2 linked regions of the Drosophila melanogaster genome follow. The protein of the gene in region 2 interacts with the protein of the main gene of each other region in a pairwise test. Each region holds a gene or a part of one and is shown on either strand. Other genes may lie near its edges. The genes, in order: GABA-B-R2 and CG7102.

Evidence for each region.
Region 1: the proteins of CG7102 (region 2) and GABA-B-R2 interact in a two-hybrid assay, tested with the Drosophila melanogaster proteins (one large-scale study listed by BioGRID).

What each region holds. Positions count from the first base shown.
Region 1 is NT_033777.3:21,767,490-21,778,953, forward strand, and holds GABA-B-R2 (metabotropic GABA-B receptor subtype 2), read right to left. Parts: upstream 8,352-11,464; 5' UTR 8,252-8,351; intron 7,859-8,251; 5' UTR 7,845-7,858; coding exon 7,596-7,844; intron 7,420-7,595; coding exon 6,938-7,419; intron 6,877-6,937; coding exon 6,696-6,876; intron 6,641-6,695; coding exon 6,422-6,640; intron 6,367-6,421; coding exon 6,071-6,366; intron 6,011-6,070; coding exon 5,647-6,010; intron 5,585-5,646; coding exon 5,474-5,584; intron 5,408-5,473; coding exon 5,171-5,407; intron 4,759-5,170; coding exon 4,413-4,758; intron 4,351-4,412; coding exon of another isoform or gene 4,348-4,350; coding exon 4,245-4,347; intron 4,188-4,244; coding exon 3,721-4,187; intron 3,660-3,720; coding exon 3,040-3,659; 3' UTR 2,844-3,039; downstream 1-2,843. Other genes in the region: Burs (bursicon), read left to right, coding at 2,062-2,191, 2,256-2,380, 2,439-2,705; CG6800 (uncharacterized protein), read left to right, coding at 8,649-8,849, 8,903-9,287, 9,350-9,500, 9,553-9,724; Polr1H (RNA polymerase I subunit H), read right to left, coding at 9,800-9,824, 9,889-10,108, 10,160-10,277; tsl (torso-like), read right to left, coding at 10,863-11,464.
Region 2 is NT_033779.5:7,880,441-7,890,401, forward strand, and holds CG7102 (uncharacterized protein), read right to left. Parts: upstream 7,074-9,961; 5' UTR 6,613-7,073; coding exon 6,488-6,612; intron 6,258-6,487; coding exon 6,095-6,257; intron 6,031-6,094; coding exon 5,868-6,030; intron 5,670-5,867; exon of another isoform or gene 5,536-5,669; coding exon of another isoform or gene 5,437-5,535; intron 5,365-5,436; coding exon of another isoform or gene 5,209-5,364; exon of another isoform or gene 5,063-5,208; intron 5,011-5,062; exon of another isoform or gene 4,904-5,010; coding exon of another isoform or gene 4,619-4,903; exon of another isoform or gene 4,490-4,618; intron 4,349-4,489; coding exon 4,215-4,348; intron 4,142-4,214; coding exon 3,471-4,141; intron 3,389-3,470; coding exon 3,097-3,388; 3' UTR 2,842-3,096; downstream 1-2,841. Other genes in the region: small ribonucleoprotein particle protein SmE, read right to left, coding at 4,619-4,903; CG34132 (uncharacterized protein), read left to right, coding at 5,209-5,364, 5,437-5,535; Spn28Da (serpin 28Da), read right to left, coding at 7,351-7,490, 7,548-7,710, 7,765-8,603, 8,660-8,672; Spn28Db (serpin 28Db), read right to left, coding at 8,931-9,052, 9,119-9,281, 9,335-9,961.

The sequences.
Region 1 (11,464 bases), on a different chromosome or scaffold from region 2:
CGTCAGCTGGACGTCGCCGGGGTTGGCACGCTGACACTCCCTCGATGACGTAATGAGCGGGCTGCTCACCACGTTGATGATGATTTCCTCATTTAGGGGTTATGTGGTGGAGCTGCAATGTCTGCACGTATGTTCACAATGCGGTGTGAACAGTGGTCCCTCGCAGTCGTTCGGGCATCTTTTCTTGAAAACAGGCAGGCTTTTCGGATTGGGAGTTGGAGTTTTGTTAATTGTTAACGATTTTATTTGATTTTCTGAGTGAGCGCGTGTGGTGGGGATTTTTTTCTTGAGATATTCGACACAGTGGTCTAGCTCAGCTTGTAGTTTTTGAGCTTTCGACCATTGGGGTGGTGGAGTGTTCGTATATAATAGCCACTTTATGTGCGCTATTCTCTTTTTTATATTATGTCGAACTCCGCCCCTGTTTTTTCCCATCACACTGACACTCTACTCACTCAGATCGCTTTTTTCTTCATAATTGCCGCCGTCTTGGTGGATGAGCATCGAAGTTGAAAATTATCACAAGCGGTTTCCTTTAGCTTCTGCTACAACTTATAACGATCCTTTGTCACGGTCGCCATGTAGTTAATTAGAATTCCAATACTTCTGATGTAGTTAATAAAGTCTCAAAACGCAGTTGGTCATTTTATCTTTATTTGGTTTTTATTAAGCGAGCGTACATTCCAGATCTATTCCTGATTTATAACTGATCTTAGTGTGGTCTACAGGCAGATCTCTTGTGACAGCCAAGTGCTGACACTAGCAAATTCTGCAATATGTAAGTATGTAGTTCATACTCGATAACCAATGGGAGTCGAGTGCGACCCCTAAAGGCGTACATGCTGAATTCGCATATTTAGTATTAGGGTGTATCTAAAGATCTACTAGGGTGACCCTAAGGAATTAGGGTGGTCCTAAGTTTACTTATTAGTCGACTTATTATTATGATTCATATTATAATTATTATTAATATTATTATTATTATTGTTATTATTATTGTTATTATGTTCGTATATACTACACTCCGCTGGATGTGGCCAATCGCAACAAACTGATCAAATGGCTGTGCAGATACCAGGCCAGCAATTGCAGGCCAAAGGTTAACGTTCAGTTCGTAACAGGTCATGAAGTACCATCGCCGGATTACCGGGAAACGTTCTATTGTGCCGCCAGTGGTGCCGATTACAACTCATACACCATGTTGTGGGGTCAGTATTATTTGGAAAATCGCACTAGCGAAAAGAATATGCTCTGGGCTGCAATCAGCTGCACGAGAGACTACGAAACCCATTACCACAAGATGATCATCTCTGGTACGGAAAGTGTTGAACAAAAGAAAATTGGTATCGCCCGTATGTACGAGGAGAATCCTGACTTGGTTCAGGCAATTTTCGAAATGATTACCGAAAACATTATGGAATTAGCGTATAAGTGAGTTATTTTTCATAATTTGATCATCTGAGAGTGTGGTTTGATTGTTTATTGAACACTTAACCTTGTCGCTTTTCAGCTTCCAGAGTTGGTCGGGACACGGCCGAGGTGATCAATGACATGGCGGAGTACTTCACCACCCGGGAGCAACAGCAGTTGCTCAAGGAATTCTACTACAGCAATCACCAGTTCTTCGGTGAATCGGAAGAGCTGCTCTCCAAGTCCCTGGTCACTGTGGAAAAAAACCTTAACTGGGCGGAAACCCATTTGGAAGGCTTAGTAAAATATCTGGCGGACAGAAATGGTAGCTCCTGCCTGGGAGCCACTTCCTTGGTGGTGGTTCTGCTTTTAGCAGTGGGCAGCATGTTGGCCTGGCCCTGATTAGCCAATAAGTTGTGAGGGAAATAAAGAGATTGCCGTGGTCGTGCGCCGCGGGAGAAATGCCCTTTTCGTGTACGCAATTACTAGGCAAAAAGGTTTGGACGGCCCTTGCTTTATTAGGCCATAATTTACGCTGTCGAGCGGCCATTAGAGCGGCATCCGCTGGCCAAGTTGGTCTATAAAAGCCCGGCGGCTGCAAGTGGCGTTTTCCATTCCACGTGAAAGGACACTCGCAGTCGGGCCGACGAGATGCTGCGCCACCTGCTCCGCCACGAGAACAACAAGGTCTTCGTCCTGATCCTGCTCTACTGCGTCCTGGTCAGCATTCTGAAACTCTGCACGGCACAGCCGGATAGCTCTGTGGCCGCCACGGATAATGGTATTTGATAAGGCATTTGATAATATCATATTATTCGCTCTAATGGATTCCATTTACCATCCAGATATTACGCATCTTGGCGACGATTGTCAGGTGACGCCCGTCATCCATGTGCTCCAGTATCCTGGATGTGTGCCCAAGCCGATTCCCTCGTTCGCCTGCGTGGGTCGCTGTGCCAGTTATATCCAGGTGGGTGTTGATATACTTGAAATATAAATTATAATTTGATATAATCTGATGACTTTAGGTTTCGGGCAGTAAGATCTGGCAAATGGAGCGTTCCTGCATGTGCTGCCAGGAGTCTGGTGAGCGGGAGGCAGCCGTCTCGCTATTCTGTCCCAAAGTGAAGCCCGGCGAGCGTAAATTCAAGAAGGTCCTGACCAAGGCGCCATTGGAGTGCATGTGTCGGCCATGCACTTCCATTGAGGAGTCTGGCATCATACCACAGGAAATTGCCGGCTATTCGGACGAGGGTCCACTCAACAATCACTTCCGGCGCATTGCTCTGCAATAGATTCCCCCATCAGTTTAGCACTCATACCCATGCCCATTTGCTCATTAAAATAAATTAGAGTTGCCGTTTCTGCTTGTACACAGTGAAAAATGTGCCTCTGAAAGCTCATGCCAGTGAAAGGGAAACATCAGCAGATATATGATTATTTTAAATTGTAATTTATTTCCCAACTATCTCATGTCATTGCTACTAGTTCACTAAATGGTGTGTGTCCTGCTTCACAGGGTATGTATGTAGATGCGTAACTCCAAAGAAAACAAAGATAATCTTTACACTGCAACTGGATCTAACAATAGGAGTTTAACTACGGCATAATGCATATGACTCGCGCCGCCTACAAGTACTCGACGATATCGCATTTGATGGATATATTCGGACAGCTCTGGCCCACGGCACTGCGGCCCCGATAGTTGGGACTCTTCTCGGTGAGGAGTTTCCGGAAGATGGGCAAAATTGCCGTCTCGCCCTCGAGCAGTTCCGTCTCGCTGCTGGCGCCGTAGATGCTGCTATCCTGCTTGCCGCGCTGCCTGCTCCGCTGCTTATCGGGCGCCACATTGGGCGAACTGTGGTGGTGGGCGGCGTGCTGGATGTTAGAGCTCCGGCTGACCTTACGCGGCTGGACGCACGGCTGACTGTTGGGCGGCGGATCTCGTTCCCGTTCGCTGTCCGTCTCGCTCTGGCAAACGGTGCCCTTTTGCGGTTTTGGCCGATGTTTGTTGCGGTTCTTCTCGGAGACGGACCGCTGGATGGGCGAGGTGGTGTTCGGGTCATAGGTCATCCCGTGGCCGCCATGATGTTCCGCACAGCGCTGCGGACTGGCGTAGTTCCGCGGCGACTGGCGCTGCTTGGCGTGCGACAGCGTGTGCGTGTCCCAGAGGTCACTCTGTGAAACCACGAAATTGGACTTCAGAGCGGAGCCCATGCTGGTGCGGCGATGGTCGGAGGCAGTGGGAGCTATTTTCGATTAGAAAATCGATAGTATTATAGTATTATAAGAGACGCGCAGAAAACTTACTCTTAATCACAGCCGGAGTACTGGGCTTTGAGTGTGGACACATGTTGCTCAACTCCGATTGCGATGTGGAGATGTTGGTGGAGGAGTTCCGGTGCGAGCTGCTGTACTTTGGCCGGGCGGTGGGCGTCTGGCTGCCACTGTCGTAGTGCCTGGAGGCGGTCGATTGACGCCTCTCCCGCATGCTGGAGCAGTCTCCTCCGCTCCGCTTGCCCGCCGTACTGGTGATGCTGCCTATATTATCATCGGTCTGAGCGGACACCGAGTTTCTCTTCTCCAGATGGCGATGATGATGCTGCTGCTGCTGCTGTTGCTGTTGCATCTGCTGGTGTTGCTGCTGCTGCAGGTGCTGCTGCTGCATCTGCTGATGTTGCTGTAAGTGCTGCTGCAGTTGCTGCTGGATGGGCTGCATCATAGTTGGAGCAGGGGCATGCGAGTGGTGCTCTACAATCGATTGCTTTTTCTTTTTGCTGTTGGAGAATATCCATAGATTAGAGTGTATTTAAGACCAAAATTTAAGAACTTACGGAGGAAGCGATGGCGCCATCACTGTAGACTGCACCGACACAAAGGAGTTATCCATCTCCACATGAGTCGAGGTCACACTATCCACGGACGTCATCTCGGTAACTTCTATGACAAACGGGTTGCAATGCATGAACATATCTACGAAATCCCCCTCCTTAGCCACTCACCTGTGGTGCTGGGCATCTCTCGACGCACCGGTGGAGCTGAGAGCCTAACAATGTCATCGTTCAGTATGGGCTCCAGTTCGCTACCGACGTTGGAGCCACCTGTGCAGGTCACCCCATCGATCCATTTGCGTGCCTCGGGTCCCAGCTTGCGGATTAAGGCCTGCAGCTCGTTCTCCTTCTCCATCAGCGCCTTTCGGAATCGGCAGTTTGTGTTCTTTACATCTCGCAATCGTTGCTCCAGTTCGCACACCGAGGAATCCCGGCGTCCGTTTTTGGACATGGGTCTCAACGTGGCCCTAACGCGTTTGTCCACCACGCCCTGGGGATTCCGCTTCAGCTCCACCAACTGCAAAACGATTCGCATGAATATTAACCAAAGATTATACTACGCGGTCAACATCTAGGAAGGATCAACTCTACGGACAGTAATATAGGATAGTTAAAGATATTCCAACAGCAAGGAAGTGGGATTTGCCTACAACCTTGCTGCTGCTCTTAGTGGGTTCTATATAGTTCAAGTTTATAGTTAGTCTGTAGTGTTATATAGCATTTTAAGATCTGTTTTCGAGTACATGTTGTTTCTGTATCAAGGTGTATCAACGCTAGACGAAAGATCAGCTCAGCTGGCGGTAAAGTACGATCAGTTAAGAAGCTCTAACCACAACTGATCGGCCTATTACCGCCGACAAACAACATTCATATTACACGATTATTATATGTAACATATAACAGCTACAAAAACTACAAAACTTCCTTACTACCAGTCTTACTTTCGGTACGAACACCAAACACAAAGTGGCTGTCGTACAAAAAATGATAAAAAACGAGAGTAAGACAAAAACTAAATCCTTTCGATCCGATAGCACCAGGGATATAGCCGCTCCGGCCAGACAAGTGATGAACACGTTATAAACGGAGAAACCAATATGCTTGGAATCGTTCAGAGCCGGTATAGAAACATGTCGAGTTTCCCAGGCCAAAAAGGCGCCAAAAACCTATTGAAAAAAATTATTGCTTTATTATAATGATATCTTACAAATTAATGTTTATTATATACTCACCAACAACAGTCCCTTGTAGGCATAAATAATGCTAACGAATATGGTCATGTGCTCAGACTGGCAGTACTCGTTTTCGGGGATCACCAAGACATCATCAATATTCTCGTGATGCTGTAGTTAATAATAATCATTTTAGATTTTTCACTTCAAATATGTTCTATCAATGCACTCACCAAGGGTTCCAACTGTTTAGTTTCGCGGTAAAAGGGATCGGCAATCTGCCAGGTGGTTATAATGGCTATATCAATGGCCAAAAGCACGCCCACAACCATAAACAATTGATAGTCCTTGATCACCTTCTTATTGAGCTTCAGATCGGTGAATATCGAATGCACCCGCCACGTCTTCGAGAACATGGCTCCAAAACTGAGACTGAATCCAGCCATCAAGATCCAGGCTCGAGCTGTGCAGATATAGGGAAAAGCTGCCACACTACTTAATGTGGTATCGAGACCCAGGAAAATGATGCTCAAATAGGTCATCATACAGCCCACAATGATCAGATTGTTCAAATGGGGACTGGACATCTTGATGTATCTATAAAAACATCAATATTTTATTAAACGAAATTGTTTAATATAGCATTGTTAAGCTCACCTTTGATTGCGATACTTAATGTTAAAGGCCAGAAAAACTGTGGCAATAATCACTCCAATGACCGAAGCACTAGCCGATACAATATATATGGTTGGATTGACCTGACTGTGCTCGATGTAGATCAAAGTGCGATCCTTGGGAGGAGTTTTCCCCACCCATTTGACTGGTTTTCCCAAGCTTAAATCCAAGTGTGACTTCTGTGAGTGGTATTCCCCGATCTTTTCCATTTGTCCCAGCTGAAACTGATTGATCAGGATGTTGGCCTTGCGCTCGTTGTTGTAGAAACGCACGGGTCCCTTGAGAATGTAAAATATGTTTTAACTGCAAAAACTGGATTGTTTATCTATCTACCGTCACACCCTCGAAGGATGTATTACGTAGAGCCTCAAGGAAGACACTCTCCCAGTCCTTCACGCGATAATCAAAATGTGTTAGCAGATCCTCTCGCTTTTCGGCCACATACTGAATGGCCAGGGCAGCTGCCCAGATACCATCGTAGGTATAGCCATGAAAGCGGGAATATTCAGTGCCTCGCAGTCTGTCGTACTCCACAAGATACTCATCAGCAGTCTAGTAAAATATGAAATTTATTACAAGAATTTTAATAGACTTTACTGGTACTAACAATGCCAGCCACTGTGATGTCACCACTGGTGGACAAGGGCAAAAGATCCACTAGAATGGCACCTTCCAAGGCTGTAGCGATCTCCTCCACACTGCACTCGCTGTCCTGCGTGACATTCCACCAATCCGTGGAATAGGTAGCCATGATCAGCCATTGATAGGCTCTGCCATACATATCCAATCTGGAAGGGAGTTTATTGCAATAATTTTAAATTGAGACTTAAGTTAGTATATCCAACTCACTTATAAGCCTCACAGAATGCCTTGCGTGCAAAGTGCTCGTTAAAGTTGCCCAGAATGATCCTCACGTCCTTCTCGCGCAGTTTCTTCAATGATTCAGCCACATCGTTGACGAAGCTCTGCGTTTCCACCACCTCGACCTCCATGGCATCCAGGTCAGCCACCATGTGATTGTGGGGCAGCGAATAGCGTGGCTCATTCTGGTAGACAGTGCCCACTCTGGTCCAATTGAACTCCTTCAGCAAGGCCAGTCGCGGCGCATTAAAGGCATTCTCCGAGGGTACCACGCGAAAGAAATTCGGAAACGCATCCTTGGTGAACATGGGATGGGTGTCCGCGTAGCTGAGCTGGGTGAGGTGCCAGTGCTTGCTGGCCTTGGCTATGGGATCGGTCACATGGGTGCACGCAGCGCCGAAGAGCATCACTTTATTGGGACCCGAATGCATCATATCGAAGAAGGACTTTACGCCCACAGCAGCATTGCACTGGAAAGGAAACCAAAATTACATTCCAGAATATATGGAAATATGCATAGGTAAAGGTGTGATATTACAATATGAACCAATGAACATTAAAAAAAATACCTAATTGAACTTTAAAAACCACAAGTCCATCATCAGAGATTCACTTAATGAAATCTTCAAGCTAAACCCTAACTCACCTGAGTGTCGTTCCACCACATGTGCAGCCTGTAGTTGGCCAGTATCTTTCCATGCTCATTAACGTGACCCAAGGCGAGCTTTACACTGGGCATAACGCCCCGACCGGTGTAGGAGTTTTCCACGCCATCCCCGTACGGGAAGAATCCCGCTATGTAGACGTCCGATCTCTTGGCTGTCCTGCCACAGGCGGTGCTCCAAAGGAGCAGGAACAGCAGGCTGGCGAATGGAAACCAACTTGGCCGGAACATGTTGACCGCGTGGGCTGTAAAACGATTCTAAATGTGAATAGCGCATATCGAGGACGTGAACTTGGAGCCAAGTTGTGGGTGGTGAATGGCAGTGGTTGGTTTCGGGTGAGCCAAGGCTGCCGAGGCAAGGCTGCGCCCAGTGGGTGTGTATTATTTTCTACGTTCTACCTGTGTTTGCTGGCACTCGCATGCAATTTTACAGGACAGGTGGAGCAAGGCTAAGGCCAGTCCAGGCCAGCAAAATTGCTTCAAATTGCTGCAGCAATGCTGGCACGTTTAGTAATTATAAAGCAATTTAATGATCTAAAGGATTCGTGCATTATTTAGTATGCTCGTTAACGCGAAGGAGTATCTTCCAGGTGTTGCATCCTCTTAAATCTTATGTGTACATGTTTTTAGGAACCTACCAGCTTGCTTAGTCCCAGAACTGGCTTTTATTTCACTACCGATGCCATTTGAAACACTTATTTTACATCAAATCTCAGCCAACGAAGAACTTTTGCAGTGCGAGGGTCCGAAAAATTATGTATCCCCCTGACTTGACATTTGTCTGACAGGAGGAATTCGAGGCAGGAAGTGCGCATGTCCTTAAACCGAAAGCTGTCACTGCTCCGCCTTGGCCTAGGCTTTCCAACCCCCGTAATTACCATAAACCCACTGCGCTTGTAAACATCCTGCAACAGGTGGTCCCATCAGCTGGTACTCCGGCAATTGTTGTGCCCGTTGCCATGGACTACTGGGGTCGAAAAACGAAGTAGATAACTGCTCGGAAAATTACCAAATTGAAAATTGTGAGTAACCATAATGGAGGACTATGCGCCCAGCCGCTATAAAATGCTTGAGAAAATCGGCGAAGGCGTCCATGGCTGCGTGTTTAAGGCCATCGATCTGCAGCGCAACAAGGAGGTGGCCATCAAGAAGGTGGCCCTTAAGAACAAGTTCGGAAACATAGCCCTAAATACTTTGAGGGAAATCAAGACCCTGCAGCTTTGCAAGTCTGAATATGTAGGTATACCATATATCTATTTTCCATTTGTTAATTATGTAACTAATTGTAGATTCTGGACATCATTGATATATATCCTGACCTAACTGGTCTCTCCTTGGTGCTGGAATACCAGCCGGACACTCTGTACAACCGCCTCAAGAGCGAGGTTAATCCCCTGAGCCGCCAGCAGGTGCGTAAGTTTGCACACCAAATGTTCAAGGGGATTGCATATCTGCATGAAGCGGGTCTCATGCACCGGGATATTAAACCCGCCAATCTGCTTATCAGCGATACAGATATGCTTAAGATTGCCGATTTCGGACTGGCCCGTCTGTACTTCCCTGAAGACGAGTCGCGCCTTTATTCGCCTCAGGTCTCAACCCGGTGGTATCGAGCGCCAGAGATTCTATTTGGCAGCCAGAAGTATGGAACCGGAGTGGATATGTGGGCGGCAGGTTAGCCATGACTCTTTGATGGGTTTACATATATCCTTATGGCTGACATTATTGCTATCCAGGTTGTGTTGTGGCGGAGATGCTACGCGGAGTGCCCCTGTTTGCGGGAACCACCGACATCGAGCAATTAGCCATCATCATTCGCACTCTGGGCAGCCCACGTCTGAATCAGTGGCCAGAGCTGACTTCTCTGCCGGATTACAGCAAGATACGGTAGGCATTCTTACCGTCTATGATTACTTAATCCGTAATATTCTTGACGTAGGTTTCCCAACTCCGTGGGCATTCACTGGGACAACTTGTTTCCCAGCTGCACACATGCGGTGGAAATCAATCTGGTCTCGAATCTGGTGGTCTACAATCCCAAAAACCGACTCAAGGCCAGCGAGGTGGGTTCTGCTTCAAGTTTGACACCGGTTAGGTATTATAATTGGTAAATTCTATATTTCTCAGGCCGTCGAGCATGATTATTTTCATTAATCTAGGACTATTTACACGGACATTGCTAGCAACTAAGAGTTTTCGGATTCTTTGAATCTGCAAGGTAGAATGTGTGTGATTAGTTGTGGAAGTGAAGGAATATGTTTATCAGGACACCTACTTGCACTTAAGGCAGGTAAAGAACACCGTCTGGCCTTCGTCCGCCGATCGAAGCTGCAGGGTGGCATAGGACATCTTGTCGTGGTTGCACTTGGGACACTTCCTCTCCACAACGGGGCCATCCGCGTCCGATTCCGACTCCCTTTTCGTCCTGTTGAACACCTTGCTGGGATCGTAGGTGTTGAAGTGTATGGTAAACTCGGACTTCTCGCCGCTGTAAACTATTTTTAAGTGTTAAATAAATTAAACAAAGTTGTAATTTCTGGATTTACCATCTGGCTGAAACTCCTTCTTGCAGTTGTAGCAAATCACATTGCCCTTGACTTGAAGCTCGGGCAGAATGGAGCCGCAGGAGGGGCAAAAGCCCGGACAATTGGAAAAAATATCCATGCCAGTATATATCACCCAAAATCAAAATCAAAATACAAAAACCGCACGTGCTATTTCGGATTTCAGTATGAGCGTAACTGAACCGTTTGAAATATACCACACGGTATTAAAAATATACTTGATTCATATACTAAATACGTAAGGGTGGAAAACTAGAATAAGTCTGGTTGAAAGCCTTGATGAAACGGGTAGAGCCGTTTACCCGTTTCGATTACCGGTTCTTAATCAAAATCAATTATTCAAAATAAACTTTCAAAATAGTATTTGATATTCATAGCCAATATTACGTAATGAAAACAGTTAGATTTTAATAGCCAATATCAAGTTATGAAAACAGTAAGATTTTTACTTTTATCTTTACTTTGTATTAAAGTTTACAAAACTATTACATCAATAAGGCGATCTTACGGTCTAGTTAGCTGAAATGCAAGTCGGATGTGTACTGTGTTCCAATTAAACTACCTAAAACTATCACAGGCAGAACATTAACTACGCACTAGAGGTTCCTAACTACAACTAAGCATCTAGGAACTATTGATCCTTGGCTGCCACATATCGCACAGTATATATATATTTAAAATGCAGCTATCGGGTGGGATGACTCTGCGGCATGTTAAGCTCCCAGAGCTTCACATTGTTGTCGAGAACCTCGTGGTACCAGCTCTCCTTTTCCGGCTCCTCCCGGAAGATGGGCTTCAGCGACTTGAGGTCCAACTGCAGTATGGCATCGTTGCCGAGCAGCGAGTCCAGGGATCGCAGTAGAGTACTATTACCGTGCAGTTTCAGCAGGGTCACATACTTGACCACATAGTACTCGTACTGCAGCTTCCTTCTCGCCCATCTTTCCACTGTAGCATTGGCACTAGCCGATCGAATCTGGCCCAGATGGGCGGCAAACCAGGGCGCAAAGTAGTTGTAAAGATCCAACTTGGACAGTCCGTTCAGACCTTTACTCTTGATTCGCTCCTTGATCATGCTGTAGTTCTTCCTGCTGTACACAAACACCTGATACAGCGAATTGCCGGTGGTGTATGAGTTTACGTAGTGGGTGCCCACATCTTCCATAAATCGCACTGCGGAAGTTATATTTCCGATTTGCAGTTGATCCATTCTCGATCGCACATCCGGCTCCAAGGGTTGGTGCACCGGAATCTCAGCGTTAAGACGCCCCGTTTCCCTGAAGCGCA
Region 2 (9,961 bases):
ACCTAGGTCAATGCCTGGATGCGTCGTCATGGGCTGATATACATTTTAGTGGCTTTTGCCGAGAAACGCATATTAATCACAGTAACCAAACCGAATACGACGTCTGCGCTGTTTTATTTCTCATCGAAGGCAATGAAAAGCAAAAGTATATTTAAAGTGGGCTTTCAAAACTGGTTGTGAAGAGCATCGCGGGTCGATTTGTTACACACATGACTGCCATCCAAAGAGAGTGGCTGGTGGGAGACCCTCCGTAGGGTTCTCCCCATCTCCATGACCATGTCTCTGCGGTTATATTACACTCTCTTAGCCAGGTGAAACAGTGGCCAGTGGCCACAGGGCAGAAGCAACGGGGTTATGCGGCGGTAATTTGAAATGTGTCGAGTGCATCGGGCGATGAGCAAATGGATGGCGGCGATGATGCTATGAATGAATGACTCGGTGTATATTTCATCTAAGCGATGGAGGTGTGGTCGTGTCAACGTCATAGATCTCGGATCAATGCGTCCACTTTGCATATTAGCACCTCGCGAATTGGAGCTCCCAGCATCTAGACAGCCGGAAACGGATGCAACTAATGGATAAAACAGCCTCAACGTGCTATGATCTTATCTTGGACATGATTTTTTCTGGGAAAAACGCCCTTTAATGGTGTCTCCTGTTTGATGGATGAATCAGTTACGAGTGGGGAATTTTTCTGATGTAGGATATGCGGTAATATACTTGGCCTGTGGGTGATTCTCTTGCCCTGGTCCCCTTTTCAGGGTCACACGCGGTGTCTTGAGCCACTTTTCCTTTTTCGCATTCTTACATGCAAATAAGTCACTTAAACTGTAACACTTGGGTTTGGCCAGCTGCTGGTCTGCTCGTTCACTTGGAAAAATTACATAAAAACTGAAAAATTGAAAAGTGTATAAACGGAATTTCGAAAAATGGCAAGTTGAGAAAAACCTTTACATATTTAAATTTACTAATTCGATTAGGGGTACTTCTTCATAAGGTATACGTGCATTCTAGGAACAAGTTTCTTATGAATTGAATTTTTGTATTTTTTCTCAATGTAATGTTGTGTGCTGACCAAGTCATAACCATAACCATGGCCATGGCTAATAGCCAGGCCTTTGTTCTATTGGAGTTGCTGCTGACCAAGCCCAACAAATATCGCATATTTTCATAAAAGCCAGGGACGGAAAGTGAACTATAAAATAAAAAAATTGGCTTAATGTTTATACATATTAAAAGAAAACTTTGAATGTAAACTGTGTGTATAAATCACCAAATCTATACCAAATTTAGAGAATGGATTTTAATTGTCTAAATCGGAAACGTTTTATATTTCAAAAATATTAACTTCCTATCCTTCACGGCACCCCTGGCTGTCTTCCGTTTCCCCAGAAGAACCATTAAAACTGTTTCTAGCTTTTCCCATATGAGGAAGCTAATGATTCATCCAAAACACTGGCACTTCCTGCCCGTCCCTAGTCTCTCACTTCAAACGCTGCAAGCCCAGATGCAATTTGAACCGAACCGATTTCATAAGGCCAGAACAAGTTTGCGCATAGATCAGTTCAAACGAAAAAATTACTTAAGCGTTAGTTATATATTTTTTTTTTTTGCCTTTCCCTTTTCATGCGACAGACATTGAAACTTCTTGGTCGGATTTTGCTGTTGGCTGGCACATGGCGCATAACGAATCCATGGCTCCAAAATCCAATCCGAAACCACTCGACAATCAAATATATTTGACGCGAAATCGAACTGAATCGAGATCTATAAATGACATTCCTTCTAGCGCCTGGACCTGGACATTAAATCGCCCCCGGGGTCTGTCAAAGAGAAGTGAAACAGCGCCGGCAACAATTTGTAGACCTTATCGAAAGGTGGCTCTCGAGCTGTGGCCTTAAGTCGTTAACAAATTTTGACTGCCAATCCGTTGTGCAGCCACAATAAAATAAAACGCCACAAACATCAAGTGTTTGTTGCTGGCTGCCATTGTCGAGGGTTCTGTTTAGGTTTTTACTCGGGGTTTCGGATGTCCAATCCCCGGATCGAAACGAATGACAAAAATGTGGGGGCCCAAGCCACCGATGTTGATCGATTCGATCAGCATAAAAAAAGCTTTAATTAGAACCAATTTAGAGCGTGGACCAATTTATCAGAAGCATTTTGAAAAGTAGTTGAAAACCAGTCGAGAGCAACTTCAGCATTTCCGACGGCGGGTGTTAGGGAGGTGTTGCCGCACATTTCATTATATTGTAGCTCAACATTAGCCGACATATTATTGTTATGGCTTATAAGCCCAACTGAAGTGAACTGAAACAGCAAACTGAAATTGCCATTTACGCATTTGTTTTTCTTTGTCAATTGTTCCACTATTTAAGAGGTGTGGACCAGGTTCAAGTGCACATTCATAACTATTATATATTTGTAACAATATGGAGTAGTGACTGCAAGAGTTAAGTGATGGGTTAATGAACGTGCCGAAGGGAAATATATTGTTTCGCAGATAAAAGAAATGTTTGAAATAGTTTTGAACAATTTAGGGTGTCATTCGGGTTTATCGAAATAAATATTTGTAAATAATAGTAAATATTCGAAATAAAAAGAAGGGCAATGAAACCTTGAAATTTCAAGATTGTCATGTTTTAAAAATTTGTTGTAATTAAAACTCTACTTCCAAGCTGTGCAATCCATAGTTCAAAGAAAAATGCTGAAGTGACAGCATTCGTGCCAGGCACCATGCTGAAGTATTTATTCAGCGAAAACTACCAACTATTGGAGCTGCCCTCTTGTTTTTTATTTTTGCTAACACTTTCAGCTTTACATACAATTGGGAAACCAGTTAATTAATTTGGTTCGATTCTTGGCATCAAGATGGAATTCAAGACAGCCGCCAAAAAAAGTTTTCTTTATATAACAATTCATTAATTACCTTTCGATTTCTGGTTTTTACCTTGGGCGGAGTCATGAACCCGACACCTAATGCCATTAGCCCAGCCGTTGCGGATCTGGGATTACAATATTCGAGTGTTTGGATCGTTCAAGGAAATAGTTTTATTGCCAGCATAGCTGATGCAACTACAAGTTGTTTCCCCAATTCTAGTATCTATCGTATTTTGCCTTTGTGGGCACCCCAGGAGCTTGGCCGTTTGTTGAGTGGTTCAGGTTCTGATTATTGCTGTGATTTGCTCCACTATTACTACTTCCTGCCGGCGAGGAAAGGGTATAGACCTCATAGTCGGTGATGGTAAAGTTATAGTCCCCGAAAAGTGTCAGGTGAGCAGCGTTGGTTCCGTCGTAGGAATGCGGAAGATTCGAGTATGAGTCCATGTTTGTATTACAGTTGCTGGAAATGAGCAGATCGGCTCCAGCACCAAAAATGGGACCGCAACTAAAGGGGAAAGCAGACATGGTAATCAGTACGAATTCCTAAACATAATGTAATATATAAGATTATTTTAGACATCACTTACTCAGGATGATAGCAAATGGCATATGGTTTCTTTACAATATCAAACTTGACCGGCTGTTCCCCATTGGCTGGATTCAAGGCAAAGAGGAAGGCTCGCTCGGACTGAACATATCCCCCCTTTCGGCTTGTTTTGGCCCACGCCACATCCGTATAACCACCACTGATCTCTCCATGCGATCCCAAGCCAATAACCATGCAAGGAGCCACGCCGTCGCAATAACGATGAAAGGCTCCAGAATCGTAGCCATGAGTGGACGCTCGGAAAACTAATCTCCAGGATTGCTTGCCCACTCCAACCCAATTATTGAGAACAGTCTGTAGTGCCAGATTGTCATTCTTCAGGATTTGGGATCCGGGAAACATGTTGACCGCTACAGCTAGGCGGGGCTGAAGTCTCTTATCGTTATCCATCATCTTATTGGCATGCAAAGCGGCATAGCGATATCGTTCTAGGGATAGTTCCATAGGTACAGCTCCTGTAGGTTCCACTTCCTCCGCGAAAACTTGGCTATCGATGAGAAGCAGACGCACGTGACCCATTACACCGCTTAAGTGTTGGCAGACACGAGCACGCTCCTCCTCAGTCCAATGTGCAGTGGGTTGGGTGACTCCTGCCTGGTATTTGGCCCAGGATAAAACGCAGCGCCACACTTCCTCCTCTTCCAAGCAGAACTATTGGTAGTTAACAGTTTTGGTAATTAAAGAAATTCAGTAAATTGAGTGGTTATTCATTATAAACTCTTACATAGTCTGAGGAAATAATCTTAATAATGGCATCCTTTGTTAAAGTAAGGAAGGCATTAGTCTTAACGCACTCATTTGCATTTTCCCCTATGTAGATGATGCAGCGTTCCATAAACGAGGCAGCGCATTTGGCACCTGAAATTTAAAGGGAAAGTTTAAAATTAATTCCTTGTTTTTTAAAGACACTCAACGGCTTTTACCTTGAGACAGCATCCTATTCTATATGTCCTGAAATCGGATCGTATTTGCTACCTTACCCATTAGAAACACTTGATTACAGAAAGTCTACCATTTATTTCAACATTCGTCTTCAGATATCGGCTTTACATTTATTTTACTTATATTAAGGGCGTTCAGCGTTTGCAGGTGGAATTCGAAGGATTCGCAGGATGGCCGCTGAGTCGCCTAGTCCTTCGTGGGACTGACGTTCTGTATGAGCGTGATGTTGTCGCCCTTGAGCATGATCCTCCCGAGGTTGCGGCGCTGCCGGGTCTTCACATAGACTTCCTCGGCGTCGTCCAGCACCAGATTCATGTACTCATCGAATCCCACAATGTGGCCCTCGATGCGCAGCGATATGTTCTCGTATAACCAAACTTGCACGCGGGACCGGTTCTGCAGGTAACGGAAGATCAGGTTGATGGGCTGCACCATCACCTTCTGCACCTTGGGATTTCCTTTGAACGACATTTTTGCTGATTTCCGACGACTTAATTTGAGTTAAACAAATTTTCGCTTCTTTTTGCCGGCGTCTTCTTTTCGTCCAGGCGATAGGCAGAAATATCGATGGCACAGCACAGATGGTCACACATAATCGCGGCCTACCGAACTATCGACCAGCCTAAAGATACCAAAATGGTAAATCCTCTGGTAGCATAACCATATCGATAGAAACACTATCACAATCGCACTGTTAAGTTTTTGTGGTTGGGCAGAAGTTGTTGCCATTTATTCATAGCTGAATTAAACTATAGTTTATAAAGAAAACCAAACAAATGGCTATGGCTAATGTGGACAAAGGTGAACTTATGGACCAGGTTAAGCAACAGATTGCTGTTGCGAATGCCCAGGAATTGCTCACGCAAATGACCGAAAAGTGCTTCAAAAAATGTGTCAATAAGCCGGGAACTTCCCTCGATTCGTCCGAACAGGCAAGCTATACATATCTTATTTTGCACTATAGAATATGTATTTAAATAGTATTTCATTAATATCCAATTTAGAAATGCATTTCCATGTGCATGGACCGGTTTATGGACTCGTGGAACCTCATTTCTCGGGTGTACGGCCAAAGAATACAACGTGAACAATCCAAGTTCTAAACACACGAATCGGCTTCTGCATTTTGGAGCAGCTTGGGACTAACTATATCTGCCAGCTATTGATTAGTTGTTATATCTAAAGTTTGATAATGCAATAAAAACATGCATTGCGTGTTACGTGATTCTGATAACACAACGTGCATATGTTTTTTCTTATCGATATGTGATGTGGTACAAAAAATACCAAAACTTTCAGAATGGTTAGTCTCAATACATTTGACATAGCATATTATGTAGAATGTATAAAGTGTTTTGGCGCGAATATGCAACTTCACATAATTGCTTACTTTTAAAGGTGTGATTTTCTAAAAGAGCTACTCAATATTACTAACCTGCTTTTTCGTGTATATCCATAACGGCGGTTAAAAATGTGCAGGCATTATCCACCGACAATGTCGATATAACGTGATCCTCGCAGGCAGTTCGTAGCTCAACCACACCGATATCCTGTGCCAATATCATCATTTGAAATACTTGCGAGTCCTGGAGAACCAACTGAAAAATGAATTTTGGTTATAATTTTATTATGTTAGATGTTACTAATAAGTAGTTTTCTTACCTTTGCGGTGTAAACGTACAAGATGAACTGCCTGAATAGTTCCGGATTCACGTGTGGTAATCGTATGGTGGTCGGAGTTGAAGCTCCTGGGGCTGCTGGCGATACTGTGCATCCGGGAATTCGACACACTTCACCTCTCTTCGCAGTCTTGAAGCTCTTGCACCTGAAATCGAATTGAGTGAATGGAAAGGCAAGACAAATTAATTAAGTGACCAACTGGAATACCCGGGATTCCAGCACGCAACATTGTAAGATTCCGAAAAAGGCAACCGTAGGCAATTATCTTATTCCACAGAGAAAAATTATACAGTTATTGGCATTTATAAGATTTTAAGGTATCACCAAAATTTATTAATCTCTTAAGTATTTGTTTGAAAAAACAATTTAACTTACCGAGCCATTAGCATTAATCTATGGGCATATATGCGCTCATCTCTGCCACAAATGAATACCACATCTGCACTATCCTGATCCTCGGAAAGGCGCTGCAGATCCTCGATCAACTGGGGCAGACTCATGATTGATTTTTATTATTAAGTGCGGTATTCTTGGGCTCAAAAAATTGCAATCATTCGTGCAGAAGTGCACGTGTTGCCTTGTCCCTCTGCAAGCACTGGGTTTTGTTATTATTTTGCGATTGGGTTTGTTTATGTTTTCAACTTGGAAACTCTCTTTATTTCTCTCTTTTAATCGCTGGATTCGTGGGAGCGCAGAAACCGGTTCCTGGCTGAAAATTCTTGGCCGACACCAAGCCACAATCGATTTGGCAAACAATATGGCCTGGGAAACAATTGCAACAAGATTAAATGGTATAACTTTTCTACAAATATTATTGTAATAGTAATATTGTGCACTATTTATTTTACACAGCTGCAAACTAAGCGTTTTTTCAAACAATTTCGACCTTTCCTCCGCGAAATCTGATTTTCTTTGACCGCTGGTCGTTCTTCTCGCGATCACGATTTGCTAAAGACTGAAGAAGAGACTTGGGACAGGTTGCTCTTTTGGATCTTTCTCAGTGTTTCTCCCAAGCAGGTAAACGGGATTAGTTTTTGTTTTGCTTTTCTCCATTCCGCTCTCTCTCAGTGTTATCTTTTTTGAGAGACTTTTTATAGCGAATGCTATAGAAATTTTCATTTATGAATGAAACTAATTAAGGACGAGACGAATTTTTCTTTATTGTATTCGCAAAAATTCACTTTGCGCAATAGATAAAATGGTGTAGAGTTTCTCGACTATTAGATACCCGTTACATTCTATATGGTTATACGGTCAATGGGATTGCTCTTCTTCAAAGGATCAACGACTCGGCCACGGAAATATATGTTGTCATCATCGCGAATCATGAAGACAAAGGGACTATTGACTGTAAAAGTAACCACACTAGTCGCATAATCTGAAAAATACCACAGGCAATCAAGCAGGAACATGATACAAATGTGCCATAATTTACCAGATAATCCTCGAATGGGGCTCGCAGAAGCGGATCCTGCGGACCCGCCTTCTTCGTCAATCTCTATAAAGGCTTTGTGTACGACTTGGCTGATTCTAGTGCCAGACTGGTTCAGTAGGACGCTGATATCCGACGAACTATTGAAGAGATCCTGTATTCCCATCTGCAAATTTAGAAACATGTAGTATATTAAATAAGGTGAGCAGAATCTACTAACGCTTTTAAGAGTTTCGACGAGCTCCATGCGGAAATCGATTTTAAATTTAGGAAGCTGCACATGTACATCCATTTCAGTGAGAACTATCTGAGGGTAACTTTCGATTGTGGCTTCTGCCTGAGTTAGGGACCCATTGTCCTTGGGCAGAACGATTACCATTGAAAGGTTTGAGTATGCAAATGGAAGCTCAATAATTTGGTCTATGGTCGAAGTACGCATCTTAAATCGACCCACTTGCGACATCATATTGACATTTACTTGGTAACTTTTGGATACATAGAATACCTTGGGCTTGGTGTTCATCTTATCGAATCGCGTCTTCCAGTAGCCCTTGAAGAAAGCTGCGTTGATCATGACCGCACTTTCATCGGGCGTCAAGTCACTGGGTATTATAATGTCTTTCACATTATCTAGTGTCTGGTCGAGCACCCAATCGTTTATAGCCCAGGCTGCCTTCAATCGATCGGCCAGCTTAATGGCTTCTGCCTCGGCCCTAAAGTGCTTATTGACTAGTTTATTGTAGCGCTTGTTAACACCAATTGTTTCGTTGACAAACAAGCGATTCGCCAAGTGGAGAATGGCTACCTTCTTGCCCCTTTCGAGTTTAGTCAAAAGCTTATCATATATAGTAGCTACATTCTTTTTATCCTCTGGCAGATTCAGAGCCGTCCTCAGTTCATTGGCTGTATTTCCATCCGCTCCCATGAGGATCATGCTCATTCCAATCTCGACGCAAAGAGGCGAGGCAATGATGTTATATTGTTTATTATCCTGCAAAAAGCTTCGGTAAAGTTGCTTGGTGAATTGACCTAGCACTGACGTGGTCACTAAGATCCAACCTTTGGAAAAGGAAAAGAGTCAAAGGTGAGCGATTAGAAAAAATGGCGCTACTCACACAAGTACTTCATGCTATACTCTCTGCAAGTAAGGTCATTGGAAACTAAAAGTAAAAGCCTCATGATTTAAGGTTTTCGAGAGCACTGATTTGTTATAGAACATTAAATCCATTATCTACGCTGTTAAACAATATTTTCAAGTAAAAAAACAGTTTCTCTACAAAAATGGAATTTTCATACCATTTTTAAGATATGTTCAGTAAGAGAAGCAATGGGTTTAATTATTTTTTAACTTCGTTGTTTCAAGTGACTAGAAAACAAAACATTGCCTTAAAGATGTAATTCGTTAGGCAGTCGAACGACGCGTCCGCGGAAGTAGACGGTATGCTTGTCGCGAATCAAGAAGACAAAAGGACGATTGACTTTAAAGGACGTCGATGCTCTTGTTTTTTCTGGCAAAGAAAAAAGATGAAATCAGTGGATGAGGTGATCTATAAAAAAAATTAGTCATAATGTACTTTGGATAGACTCTGCGTGGTCTGACGCTTCTCCTGTCGATGCTCCCCTTTCGTTGATCTCAATAAAGGATTTGTGTACCACATGGTTAATTTTGGCACCTGTACCGTTGGTCAGAAGGCCGCTGAGATCCGAGGTATTGCTGAAGATAAGGTGTATGCCCAACTGAAACTTAAAACATTGTAAAAATGATAGCATTTTCAACAGGTCCTACCCACTTTTTTTAGGGATTCAACTAGTTCCGTCTGATATTTGATTTTAAACTTTGGCAGTTCCACATGAACATTGTTTTCTACTAGGCTCTCTGAGAGTGTTCTAAGTATTTTTTCAATAGAGCTTAGATATGTGTTATGCAATGGCAGACCGATTATCATTGACAGGTCTGAGTTATCAAACGGCATCTCAATGATTTGTCCATAAGAGTGATCAGCAATCCTAAATCTGCCCACATGGGACATCATCCTGACATAAACTTTTTTATTATGATCTCCATGGAATACTTTTAGCTTGGTGTCCTTTTTACTAAACCTAGTTTTCCAAGCGCCGCTATAGTAGACGGTGTTAACTAACACTGCACTTTCATTAATTTGCAGGTTATGATCATTAGAAATAGTGCGCATGCCCTTGTGACTCTTCCGATGAATCGAAAAGCTGATACTGTTGCTAGCCTTTCTTTGACTTAACGGGTCTTTGCCCTCTGCCATGAAGGTGCTCTTCATTAACGTGTTGTAATCCTGCCTTACTTCATATGTCTCATTGACATAAAGCCAATTTGTAAAACGAAGCCCATTATGTTTTTGGAAATTAGACATAATCCTTTCGTATTTCTTGGCCATTTCTGTCAC